Coturnix japonica: one gene and its partners. The protein of the gene in region 3 interacts with the protein of the main gene of each other region in a pairwise test. Links are inferred from orthologs where the notes say so. Each region holds a gene or a part of one and is shown on either strand. Other genes may lie near its edges.

Region 1 (4,146 bases), on a different chromosome or scaffold from region 3:
TCATGCTCTGCTCTGTGGGGATATACTTGTTAATGTTTCAGCTTCTACAGCTTAAGTGTGTTCTTTAAAAGTACATTACATGTGCGTAGCTCAATATTACAGAAAGCCCATGCTGGGGCTTGCATATCTGGCCTTGTGACTTCTGTGGGAATCTAGATCCTGTGCATACAGTCTCTCTCCAAACTGTACCCATTGCAGGGGCAGAGCAGTGCCTAGACTCCAGCATGGGCTTTGGGTGGTAATGTACCAAGCACCGTGGGATGGCTTGATACACCCCTTCTGCATCTCCATGAGCAGCCTGGAGCAGAGGTGCTGTGATGGGCAAGAAAGCAAAGGCTGAGAGCATGACTATCTTGTGAAGTCCTACCAGCATGCAATTCTTGATGATTTCCTAAGTATTTAGTAAGGGATGTTGTAATCACAATTAGCAAGTATGCTCTTAACATTCTTGAAGGGAAACAAATTTTGCATAGAATGAGTTGAAGACCTGGTAGCTGTAGATGTTTATATGGGAGGCTGGAGGTTTTCTTCTGGCTGTCTTAAGTGTACTCTGTGGTTGCCTCCAAGTCTGTCTCCAAAGTTGTCTTGCTTCCTTCCTTAAGAGAAAATGCTCATGATTGCTTAAGTCATTGTGTTTATTTGTGATTCATGTAGCTGGAGCATTAGGGTTTATTTTCCTCCACTGGAGTTACTTTTTGAACTGAAGAGCACTTTGATGATGCTGCTGCCATCATAACTGTCATTCACAGGCAGCTCAGGTATCTGCACATCTTATCCCTTTCTTCATTGTTATTTTCCTTGGAAATCACTGGTTAAGAGGACTTAAAGTAGTCTTTGTTTCCTGATGTTCAGATAATTACCACAGCTTGTATTTCTAGCAGCTGATTTCCTAGTTCTCAAATTGCTCTGATATGGTTCCCTGCTCCTCAGCTGACCACCCCAGGTGTATGGGAACAAGGTGGAGTTGCAGCTGGTAAAACACTGGGATGGGCCCTGCCTCAGAGCTCACAAGCCTCATCCTCCTGCTCTGGGGGAAAGCCAAGTCTTCTGTTTTAAACAACTTTTTAAGAGAGTTTACTGGTCCAAGTTCAATCTGATTGTAAAGCTGAAAGAAGAAAGGAAACACAAAGCAAAGCCAAACTGAAAATGGACTTTGGCGTATGCCGGAAGTAAAAGCCAAAGCTTCAAGTTACGTTGTTGTCTGAGCAGCCTGCACATGCTCATGTTGCCTGCAGGAGAAATAACTGGAAGGGTGTGGTTCTCTAAACCTTGAATTGCTCAGGTGTGTGCACTTCAACTTTTATTTTGCCTCCTGACATGCTGTGGGCTGCTCTGTGTGACACAGCTGGTGGCTGCTCTGCTGTAGGGATGGGGCCCTATTGCCAAAATACAGTGACAGTGCATCAGTGGGACTCTGCCAGCAGCCAGCACAAGGCACAGCCAGGCCAGACACGTGAGTTTCAAGGTTTGCATTTCTTTTTAACTGATATTCTCACTTACAACCTACCAGAGAAGCAAACGGGTAAGGACATACTTGGGCAAAACAAACTTTATTTGGTATCTTCTGTTCACCTTCTCCTCTACTTATTTATACTCAGTTCTTAATGAGTTCTGTTTTCATTCAGTACTGGTATGTGCAGTGGTTGCAAAACTGAGTATGTGTGAGTATATGTCATCTCACAAAAGTTTCATCTGTACGGATGAGCCTGATCCTTTTTGTCAAAACAAGGTCCATGTACAGACATGGCAACACAGAGGTCAGGACTGCTGTGAAGATGCACAGACATCCTCGCACCCTGAAGGAGATACTTAAAGTACTTCACAGGTTTAAAGCGAAGCACATTTTGAGTGTTTTTAATTAATAGCTGCTGGGTACTTAAACATCTACCAAACAAAAACACAACTCGGGGAAAGTGTTCACATTGGATTGGTAATTCACACTTTTCCCATATGCCTGACACAAGAACAGGGCTCGACCAACAGCAGGAAAGGCAGGAGCAGGTGAATGTTCTGGTCAATATATAATGCGGATGTTTCTTCACAGTCTGCTACTGAAATAGATTAGAGCACACAATCTCTGTTTGTTACACCCCCCTCTCCCCTCCCCAACCAGACTTGTTTTCATTTGTTCATTCAGTGGGACACAAAACAAAAGCAAGGTATCTTTGCCACTTTATCAAAGCAGCATGATCTATTGTCTCCTGTTGCTAGGAAAGAACAGAAATTATCTTTAACTAAATTTGCCATCAGGCATTTTGAAAGATGCTGCCTCGCAAGGACTGGTATCCTCAGTTCTTCAATCCAGTTTTCTGAGACTGAGAGCTTCCTCTCAAGGAAGCAATCTGTTACTAATTTACTATTTTATACTCTTCCACCCAGACCTCAGAGGCTGTGTGTATTTTCCAAAAGTATAAATTGAATCAGTCTGGGGAATCTTGACTCTTCAGTATCCTTTTCTTGCCACCTGAAAATACTCTTCCTTCTGCTTCTAATTAATGTTACTTTTCTGTAGTCCTGTACAAGTGTCCCCCAGTCCCTCACGAGAGCTCTGCTTTTTGGAAGGAGGTTCCAAGCCTGTGTGTCTGAGTATTAACTGCATCAGGACTTCACTGTAGCACAGACTTGGAAGGCAGAATGTCACTGGCTCCAAACTGCGATTGTCTATCACAAGAAGAAATTGATTTGTCTTTTGGAAGAGGTTTGAAGGGGCTGGCATCTTACCCCTGAATAACTTTTCTTGTGCAAAATGCAAATAAATCTTGCATGCAGAATGAGATGACAGATTAGCCTCATTTTGCTGCAGACTAGGAAATCAGGCAGTATTGTTTCCAGCAGGAAGGTAAATCTCTGAAGGCTTTCCAGATGCTGGCTGCTGAAGGGCTGCAGCCAGTTATTTCTGAAGCCCTCAACTCTGCAAGCTGGCCTGGGGCAGGCAGAGGCTGCAGCTCTTTTTGAGGGGCTGTCTCTGCAGCCAAAGCTTGTGAGATGTATTCCCTCTCGAGTTAAAATGGACAGACACTTGTGTCAAGTGAGATTGCTGGTTTTGCAGTTGTTTGAGATGCAAATCCACCTCTTCCACTGGTATTTTTGCTCCTAGAACCTGGGAGGTGCGACAACTGACTTTCCCCAGGCTTTCCCTAAAGCCTTCAGCTGTGTGTTTAAGGAAGGTCATTGCACAAATCCTATGATTTGAGGGAACCAAGCTTGGAAGCAGAAAGTTTCTCTTTTGGTAAACATTCAGGGAATGGTTCATAGGCAGCTTAGGTCAGGTGCAGCTGCCTCTGGCTGCACGCTGCTGCCGTTCCTCTCAATAAACATCAGTTACTGCTTGACAAGGAAATCGATGAACTAAATACCCTGAAATTTCCTACCCATTTAGCAGTCCCTGGCAACACTCTCCTCCGTCCTTTGGTTTCACTTTAACGTACCTTTACCATTCTTCTTAAAACAAAGAGAATTAATAAAACAATAGTTTGCATGCACCAACAACTCCTTACTAAGAGGTGACAGCTACTTCTCTGCCTGGATTAATGCATTTTTTTTTTCAGAAAATGCAGCCGCTTAAAGGAAGAAATTCAAATCAGACAAAATTCCCCTGTCTGTGTGCACATAGCAGATCACATCTGAGCATGTGGTGCACACTGGCAGGAAGCAGGACAGCTTGAGCATGTAATGCCTAATGGGTTTCTCATCACAGGAGTAAGCAGCACACAATCTCACACCCATCAGACTGGTTCTGGATGCGGATGATAATTTGGCTGCATAATTAATGATCTTCTGCAGCTAGTGCCGCTCTCCTGTCCTGGCTGATAAAACCTTTGTGAGCCTCTTCGTTTCAAGGAGAATGTTAAAAGACCATCAGCAGTATGTTTGTTAATTAGTGTGGACTTTAGGTCAAAGTTTTCACAAAGCTCCAATTAAAGCAGCAATGACTCGAAACCAGTGAGCAGTACCGTACACAGGGTTGCTGCTTCCCAGCACTGAGCAGATGAGGCAGAAGCAGGCTCCAGAGGATGTGATGGTAACCGAGAGCCCAGACACTGTCATAAACAAACTTTATTCACTGATACTTTTGTTGAACAGAGATCTTAGTCATTGTCCTGACTCATGAGAGCTGGACAGAGCTGCTCCTATTGCCCGAATACT
Region 2 (4,258 bases), on a different chromosome or scaffold from region 3:
GATGCGGCCCCAAAGGGCAGTCCCAGCCCCATAGCATGGGGGGGTCCCCACACCAGTGCCCATAACACCAAAATAACAACAACCAGCTCTTCCCCCACCCAGCCCTTGTGTGTCACCCTGAGGTCCCCACCTCAATATTCCCCTCTCCCCCCCCCCGCCCCCCCATTGATCCTGGTGACCCTTTGTTGTCCTCCCAGGGTGGGGGTTGGGGCAACGTTTTTGGGTGGGGGCCAAAGCTCTGTGCCTGCCTTTGTTTGCACTGGGCTGGGCTGGGCTTTGGTGACGGGGACAGCGCTGATGGGCTGGTGGCCCCCACGTCACCATCACCACCTGCCACCCCCCCCTCTTCCACCCATGGGTGCTACAGCACCCAAACACAGATGGAGGTTGTGGTGTGCCAGGGGGGGAATCTTGGGGTGGGTCCACTGGGGGCTTCAGGTGGCACTTTGGGGGCTCAGAGTGACACTATGGGGTTTTAAGGTGACATTCTGGGGGCTCAAGGTGGCATTTTGGGGTCTCCAGGTGGCACTTAGGGGGCTCAGGGTGACACCTTGGGGACTTGAGGTGGCACTATGAGGACCAAAGGTTACACTATGGAGCTTCAGGTGACATTATGGGGGCTTCAGGTGACATTATGGGGGCTTCAGGTGCCACTTTGGGGTCATGATGTGACACCCTAAGGGTTTCAGGTGGCTTTTGAGGGCTCAAAGTGACATCTCGGGGGCTTCAGGTGGCACTTAGGGGGCTGAGGGTGCCACCATAGGGACCTGAGGTGGCACTGTGGGGTTGTGAGGTGTCATCTTGGGGCCCATTTTTGCAGCTCTCCCCTTCCCCCCTTCGTCCTTGTGTGCTCAGCGATGGGGTGATAAGGGCGGAATGCGGCGCTGATGCATCTCTGAGCCAGGAGATAAGGGAGCGGGGGGGAGAAGGGGGAGGGTGTCCAGCGGGATCATGGGGGTAGAGGATGGGGTGCCCAAGGAAACCCCAGAGTGCCCACAAAGTGGCCCCAAAGTGGCCCCAAGGAGACCCCAAAGTGCCCCCTAATGTGTCCCCAAAGTGTCCCTGTGGAGTCCTAAGTGTCTCCAAAGAGACCCCAATGTGTCCCCAAGGTGTTCCTAAGGTGTCCATAAAAGTACCCCCAAAGTGTCACCAAGGACACCAGTGGGGTCCCCCTAAATATATGAGGCTGAGTCCTGGTGCCCCACATTGTACATTAATGAGCTGCATCCCTGTAGGGCAGTGGGGCCATGGGGCCGAGCCCTGGCCGCACACTCCCTGGTCCCCCCCTACATTCCCCCCTCCCCTTGCCATTCTCAAAGGCACGGGATCCGGCCGCACCTTCTGGGTATCGGCTTAGGGCCAACGGCTCTTTGGGGCCGCCTCCTGTCTGGCCCTCCCTATAAAACCCCACCGCCATCCATCCAACCGTCCGCTCGTCCATCTGTCCGTCCATCCATCCATCCATCCTTCGCCATGAGCTTCTCCCGCAGCACCACTTTCTCCACCTCATCCCGCACCGGGAGCATCCGTCGCCCCGTGCCCCATAGCAGCGCTGCCAGCGTCTACGCTGGAGCCGGGGGGTCAGGGTCACGCATCTCCATCACCCGCACCGCCAGCACCTATGGGGGCGGCTATGGGGGTGGCTATGGGGCAAGCTATGGGGCTGGCTATGGGGCAGGCTATGGGGGAGGCTTGCTGCTGTCGGGGTCTGGGATGGTGCAGAATGAGAAGGAGACGATGCAGGACCTGAACGAGCGTTTGGCCACGTACCTGGATAAGGTGCGTAGCTTGGAGAACAACAACCGGCGCCTGGAGGCACAGATTAGGGAGAGCCTGGCCAAGAGGGGGCCCAGCACCCGAGACTGGGGGAACTACTGGGACACCATCCAGCAACTGCGTGATAAGGTGAGGGGGGGATGGGGTGGGAGTGGGGTTGGGATTGGATTAGGATGGGAAGAGGAATGGGAATGGGGTTGGATTAGGGTTGGAATGGGAATAGGGTTGGAATGGGAATGGGGTTGGATTAGGATAGGGAGGGGTTGGGGTAGAAATGGGAGTAGGAATGGGAATGGAGCTGGGTTTGGGATGGGGATGGGAATGGGAATGGGAATAGGAATGGGATTGTGTTAGGATGGGGACAGGGTGGAATGGGAATGGGTTGTGGTTGGGGTTTGGATAGCGTGGAGTTGAGGTAGGAATGGGGATGGGATTGGGGTTGGGTTAGGATGAAGATGGGATGGGAATGGGAATGGGGTTGGGTTAGGATGGAAATGGGGTGAGCAGATGTTAGGATGGTATGGATGTTAGTAGGAGTTAGGATAGAGTGGGTTGAGGTTGAGAATGGGGTGTCTGTGGAGTTGGGGTTAGGATGGGGTGAGGGTGGGATGAAGATGGGGTTGGGGTTGGGATGGGGTGGGGTTGGGGATGAGAATGGGAATGGGGCTGGGGTTAGGATGGGGTGGGGTTGGGGATGGGGATGGTGTTGGGTTGAGTTCATTCGGGGTGGGGATGGGGTTGGGGTGGGAAGGGGGTAGGTTGGGGCACTGACATCACATCCCCTGGGCCCCATCAGTGTGCCCCACATTCTGGCACCTCATCCCCAGGGCTCTGCCAGCAGTTGTTCTGGGGTTAATCATTAACCCACATGGTGTTGGGAAGGGGTGGACTTCGCACCCGGAGCTGAGCCAGGGAGAAACGGTCCTGTGGGGTGGGGACGGTGTGGGGCACCCAGTGGGGACACCACGTGGGGCCGTGGCCAAGCCCATGGGGGCCGAGGGAGGGGGGTTACTTAATGCTCCTTTGTTAAGCAGACAAGCCCCACAGCCAGAGTCACCCTATAGTATAGTGGGGTCACCCCTTCCTGAAGTCACATGGGGACGGGAATGGGGACAGGGATGGGGACAAGGACATGGACAGGGGCACACAGAGGGGAAGGAGGGGAATCTGCTGGTGGGTTCTCACACCCTGTGACCCCAAACTGGCCCCACAGATCTACGACAGCGCGGTGGAGAACGCCCGCACTGTGCTGCAGATCGACAACGCGCGGCTGGCGGCCGATGACTTCAGGGTGAAGTGAGTGAGACAGGGACAGCAGGGGGGGGAGGTCGGGGTGGGGGCATGAATGGGGATAGGACTGGGATTGGGATGGGGTGGGAACAGGGACGGGAATGGGATGAGGATATAAATGGGAACTGGGATGGGAATGGTGGGAAAAGGTGGGATGGGATGGGATGGGATGGGATGGGATGGGATGGGATGGGATGGGATGGAGATGGGATGGGGATGGGATGGGAGGGCGTGGAGGGATGGATGGATGGGTGGGATGGATGATGGGAGGGATGGGAATGGAATGGATGGGATGGCATGCGGGATGGGGATTGGAGGGGTGGATGGGATGGGATGGGATGGGATGGGATAATGGTGCCACACAGGTACGAGGCAGAGCTGGCCATCCGTACGTCGGTGGAGAGCGACATTGCGGGGCTGCGCAAGGTGCTGGATGACACCAACATGGCACGGCTGCAGCTGGAGGGGGAGATCGAGGCACTGCGCGAGGAGCTCATCTTCATGAAGAAGAACCACGAGGAGGTGGGGAGGGATGGCAGCAGGGACACATCAAGAACATATCAAAGACACATCAAGGACACATCGGGGACACACTGAGAACACATTGGAGACACACTGAGGACGTGGTGGGGATGCATTAGGGACACAGTGGGGACACATCTGGTATACATTGAGAACACATCATGGGCACATCAAGGACACAATGGGGACACCTGGAATACATCACGGAATCATTGGGGACACATCAGAGACAAACCAGGACCTGTTGTCCCCTGGCAGGAGGTGAACGCGCTGCAGAGCCAGGCAGCATCTGCGGGGCTGACGGTGGAGGTGGACGCACCGCAGGCGCAGGACCTGGGCCAGGCACTGGCAGAACTGAGGGCGCAATACGACGCGTTGGCCAAGAAGAACCTGGAGGAGCTGGAGAAGCAGTGGGGGCAGCAGGTGGTCCTACAGTCCTAAGGGGTCTTTGGGGTCTTTCAAGGGGTCTTTGGGGTGTTCCAATAGTCCTCAGGGTGTACCTATAGTTCTTGGGGTGTTCTGGTGGTCTTTGGGGTCTTAAAAGGAGTCTTTGGGGGCATTCCTATAGTCTTTAGGGTGTTCCAAGGGTCTTTGGGGTCTTTCAAGGCGGTCTTTGGGGTGTTTCTATAGTCCTCTGGGTGTTCTAATGGCCCTTGGGGTGTTCCGGTGG
Region 3 (3,646 bases):
GGTTTTTATCTCTCTCCAGATGCTATATTTTACCTTACATTCTCCCTGCCAGGAAACAAAAACAAAACAGGAGTGGACAACTGTTTTGCTGTTTTGTTGTCCACAAGTGGGGAGAAAGGGAAAGTAAGTTGCTTATTTTTTTTATACCACACAGTCTCCTACCAGCAATTTTACCTGAAGGGAAGCTCATTAGTTGCTATAGCACCTACTCTAATTGAGCTACAGAAGATGTTGCTGGCACAAACAGATGGTCTCAGGTATCACCAAACACAGTTACTAATAGCTGTTAGAAGACAGATAAGATGAGCAGGGCCACATTCACATGAATGGGTCACCCAGATTCTTTCAGCATGCTTCTACCTGACTCCAAAACAATCTCTATGGGGAAGAAGGACCAAGCATAGCAGGTGTTGCCACTCTGCAACAGACTAAAGAGGAGAACAAGAGTAAGGACTACAGAAGGAGGCAAAGATAACCAAATCTTTCTCCCTGTGACACTCTTGGACTGCTGGGAAGAGTTCCTGCAGCCTTTGTGAAGATGGATTTCACTCGTTTCTAACTGTTGGCTGGAACCACTCCAGCTTTTTTGCAATTTTGAACAATTAAGGACACTAACAATCCTATCACAAAGAAGTCTGCCTGAAGTCTCCTATTTCAGGTGTGAAAGGTCTGGAAACCTATGGCCATTTCTTCTGCTGTCTCCATCTTAGTTGTCCATAGAGACATGACTAGTGTGCTGCATCTGACCAAGAAAAGTCTAGACATGCTCACTTGACAATATTTATTTCACACTCAGAAATATTGTTGAGATGCCAGAACTGAAATATTTTACTGCGCTTACTACTGCTCTTACACATGCTCCTGTTTCTAAGTACATGTTACAAAAGCAAGGTTATTTCAGCAGGGTAACAATTGGGCATTACACTTGTCTAATGCTCATACAGTAAACTTGCAGGATATGCTCCAGCACAGAAAGAACTATGGAGTCCTACAAATGTTTACTACTTTCCATCCCCACAGCAATCAGCAGAACAAGATTCATGTATGGGAAAAAAATGTCCCTTTGTAAGAAGTTCTAATGTAATATGTTACTGCGTAAATGGAAGACCTTGTAACACAACCAGGTGTCCTGCTTTCACCCTGCCATGAGGAAGCTAACCTCCACTAGAGTGTTGTAGACAGATAGGAGTAAGGATACAGTTATCACAGCTTAAATGAGATTAAATTAATCTCATTTATAATTTTTTGTATTTCTTTTTCCAGTCTCTTACTGTTTATTCTGAAATTAAAATTATCCACACAGCACACAACCCATGAAAGTAAATTGAAGAAATACTAAAGGTGTATGGAAAAGGATTTGCATACTCTTGCAAGTACAATTAAATACTCTGTGTTCCTACTATTTCACATTTTCACACACACAAAAAAAAAAAGCATAAGAATGACCATGAAACAGAACAAAGCATAATTTTCTTTTACCTCCACTATTCATATTCCTTACCTTCATTAACTGCATGAGGCTTAATAATGCAGCAAGTACAGTTTGTGAACTTTGCGCTGTTGGCTGGTCCGTGACCTCCACTGGAGGGAAAGAAGAACTCCAGCTCCTGAAAACAATTGTAATTGAATTCACTTTAGTTTTTATCTAGCTGCATGCATAAGCTTCCATCCTAAGTAACGACATCTGAAGTACTCATAGTTACAGAAAACTATTGATTTTTGTGCTACAAATACATCTCCCCTACAATATTCTACACATCTTTCCAACCCTGGCAACACTGCTGCCATCATAAAAACTTCATTTGAATATTTCTTGTAATTTCCCTTTCTGCTTTCACAATACAATCTATTTCCATTCAGCCACAATCATTTGGCAGATGAAGTATCCCCAGATTTCTAAATTCCCTTTCCTCAGTATTTTTCCCAGGTCTACTTCCATGTACAGATTTTTAGCTTCTCTCTTTTCACAACATGTTTTCCTCCACTTAAGCAATAACACAATGAGCACCCAGCTTTCCCTGATACAAAAACCAATCTCCATCCCACTCATTTACAACCTTTTTTTCCCCCTTTTGTATTAAAAAACCTTCGCCTAAAATTGTTGGCTCCACTCTCATGACTTATGGACTCCTACCCCTCTTTTCTTTTTTCCCCCCTTCAGCCTTAGTGAATGGAAGATGGGCTCAGTTACCCTAATTTCTGAGAAGAATCAGAAGAACCTCTTTGCCTCTTTGTTTCCCATTACTTCCTTTCCTCCTTCCATCACTATTTGGTCTTAGACCACAGTAAGCTGGACACACAAGCTTCTTTCCTCAGTGATTTTATTTATTTATTTTTATTGCTCACTGCCAGCTTCATGCTTTTTCCATACCATTTATTCACATAGCTTACACAATCTGCCAATAAACATTAGTCAAATGCTCGAAATGCAGATTCCATTTAAGACCTATTGGTCAAATTAAGTAAGAGAATTGATGAATTTCTATTTAAGGGAAATAATAATAACCTGGAGATACTTCTACCAAATCCATCTAATTTTTTTTTTTCATGTGTAACACTAACAGCGCTGAAGGCCATTTCCTGGCATTGTCTCATTTAATTTACTAGCTCAGTTCAGACAGAATAAACTTAACTATTTCTCAATCTTCTCCTCACTTTATTCTGGCAATTCCTGTAATCCTGACTTGAACAATTACACAGTTCTCACTCAGGGATCATTCAACAGGAAGGAAGGCGAAGTGTTTTTGTTTTCTGTGTTTTTTCCCACCTAGCAAACAATGCCCATCTTGAGTGCTCATGAGTGTTAGTTTCCTGCACCCTTCTTCTGAGGACATGCTGCATCCCTCTTTGACCTTGTCCCATTCTGTTAACTAATGTTCACTCTAAAAGCAGTAGCCAGGAAAAGTTAGCAAGGTACTTAAAGCATCTAACACTTTCTTTGGTCCATTAAATGCCAGAAGAGAAAAGTGTCTAAATAATGCTGAAGGATAATGAAATGCTAAACAAAATTCAAGTGATGTTTTAAAAAGAAAGTATTTTTTATTTATGCCTAATATGAAAAAAAAAAAATTAAAAATGGTCCTGCAGAAAGAGAAATAACCTTAGAAGTACACCAGAGGCCTACTTTCATTTGTCACTGCAATGTCCTGTTCTAACTGCAACCAACTAGTTTCCAGCTGCTATACAAATATATAGTTCTGCACCTACTACATTAAAGTAGGTAGAGGCCTATTAAATTCACAATTTCAGTTATCTTACCAGAGATGGGTATTGGTAACACCACAAGGATGCCTACATCTGCCAAAGTTCAGCAATATAATAATGTTGGTCATAAAAATACCACAGATGAGCAGAGCCTTCAAACTGCTGAAATGTAAAAAGAGCTACCAACTTAAACCAAAGCAAATAATTAAATTTATAGTCAGAATCTTACGTTAATAGATACTGTCTCCTACACTCTCAGGCAAAAAGCTGGCACAACAGTAACTGCAGCACACAAACGAAGAGAAACCTCCCCATTTGAGCACAAAGACATTGGTCAACTGCCAGAATTAAAGACTTTTCTGACTGAAATTCTCCTTTATAAAAATTCAACTTTATCCAAACTCTTTCTAGATAGGTACCACTTCCACTAGACTTGCCACCA

What was found.
Region 1: the proteins of NME7 (region 3) and LNX1 interact in binary tests that used the Homo sapiens proteins (3 or more experiments, as listed by UniProt). The link is inferred for Coturnix japonica from reciprocal best matches to the Homo sapiens genes NME7 and LNX1.
Region 2: the proteins of NME7 (region 3) and KRT18 interact in binary tests that used the Homo sapiens proteins (3 or more experiments, as listed by UniProt). The two-hybrid records come from large-scale screens. The link is inferred for Coturnix japonica from reciprocal best matches to the Homo sapiens genes NME7 and KRT18.

What each region holds. Positions count from the first base shown.
Region 1 is NC_029519.1:59,244,737-59,248,882, forward strand, and holds the start of LNX1 (E3 ubiquitin-protein ligase LNX), read left to right. Parts: upstream 1-1,305; 5' UTR 1,306-1,453; exon of another isoform or gene 1,454-1,465; intron 1,466-4,146.
Region 2 is NC_029544.1:1,109,564-1,113,821, reverse strand, and holds the start of KRT18 (keratin, type I cytoskeletal 18), read left to right. Parts: upstream 1-1,417; 5' UTR 1,418-1,473; coding exon 1,474-1,905; intron 1,906-2,989; coding exon 2,990-3,072; intron 3,073-3,431; coding exon 3,432-3,588; intron 3,589-3,846; coding exon 3,847-4,011; intron 4,012-4,258. Other genes in the region: KRT8 (keratin, type II cytoskeletal 8), read right to left, coding at 1,339-1,417. UniProt on the Homo sapiens protein: Involved in the uptake of thrombin-antithrombin complexes by hepatic cells. When phosphorylated, plays a role in filament reorganization. Involved in the delivery of mutated CFTR to the plasma membrane.
Region 3 is NC_029516.1:74,987,295-74,990,940, reverse strand, and holds part of NME7 (nucleoside diphosphate kinase 7), read right to left. Parts: intron 1,608-3,646; coding exon 1,502-1,607; intron 1-1,501. UniProt on the Homo sapiens protein: Possesses an intrinsic kinase activity. Displays 3'-5' exonuclease activity with a preference for single-stranded DNA. Does not seem to have nucleoside diphosphate kinase activity.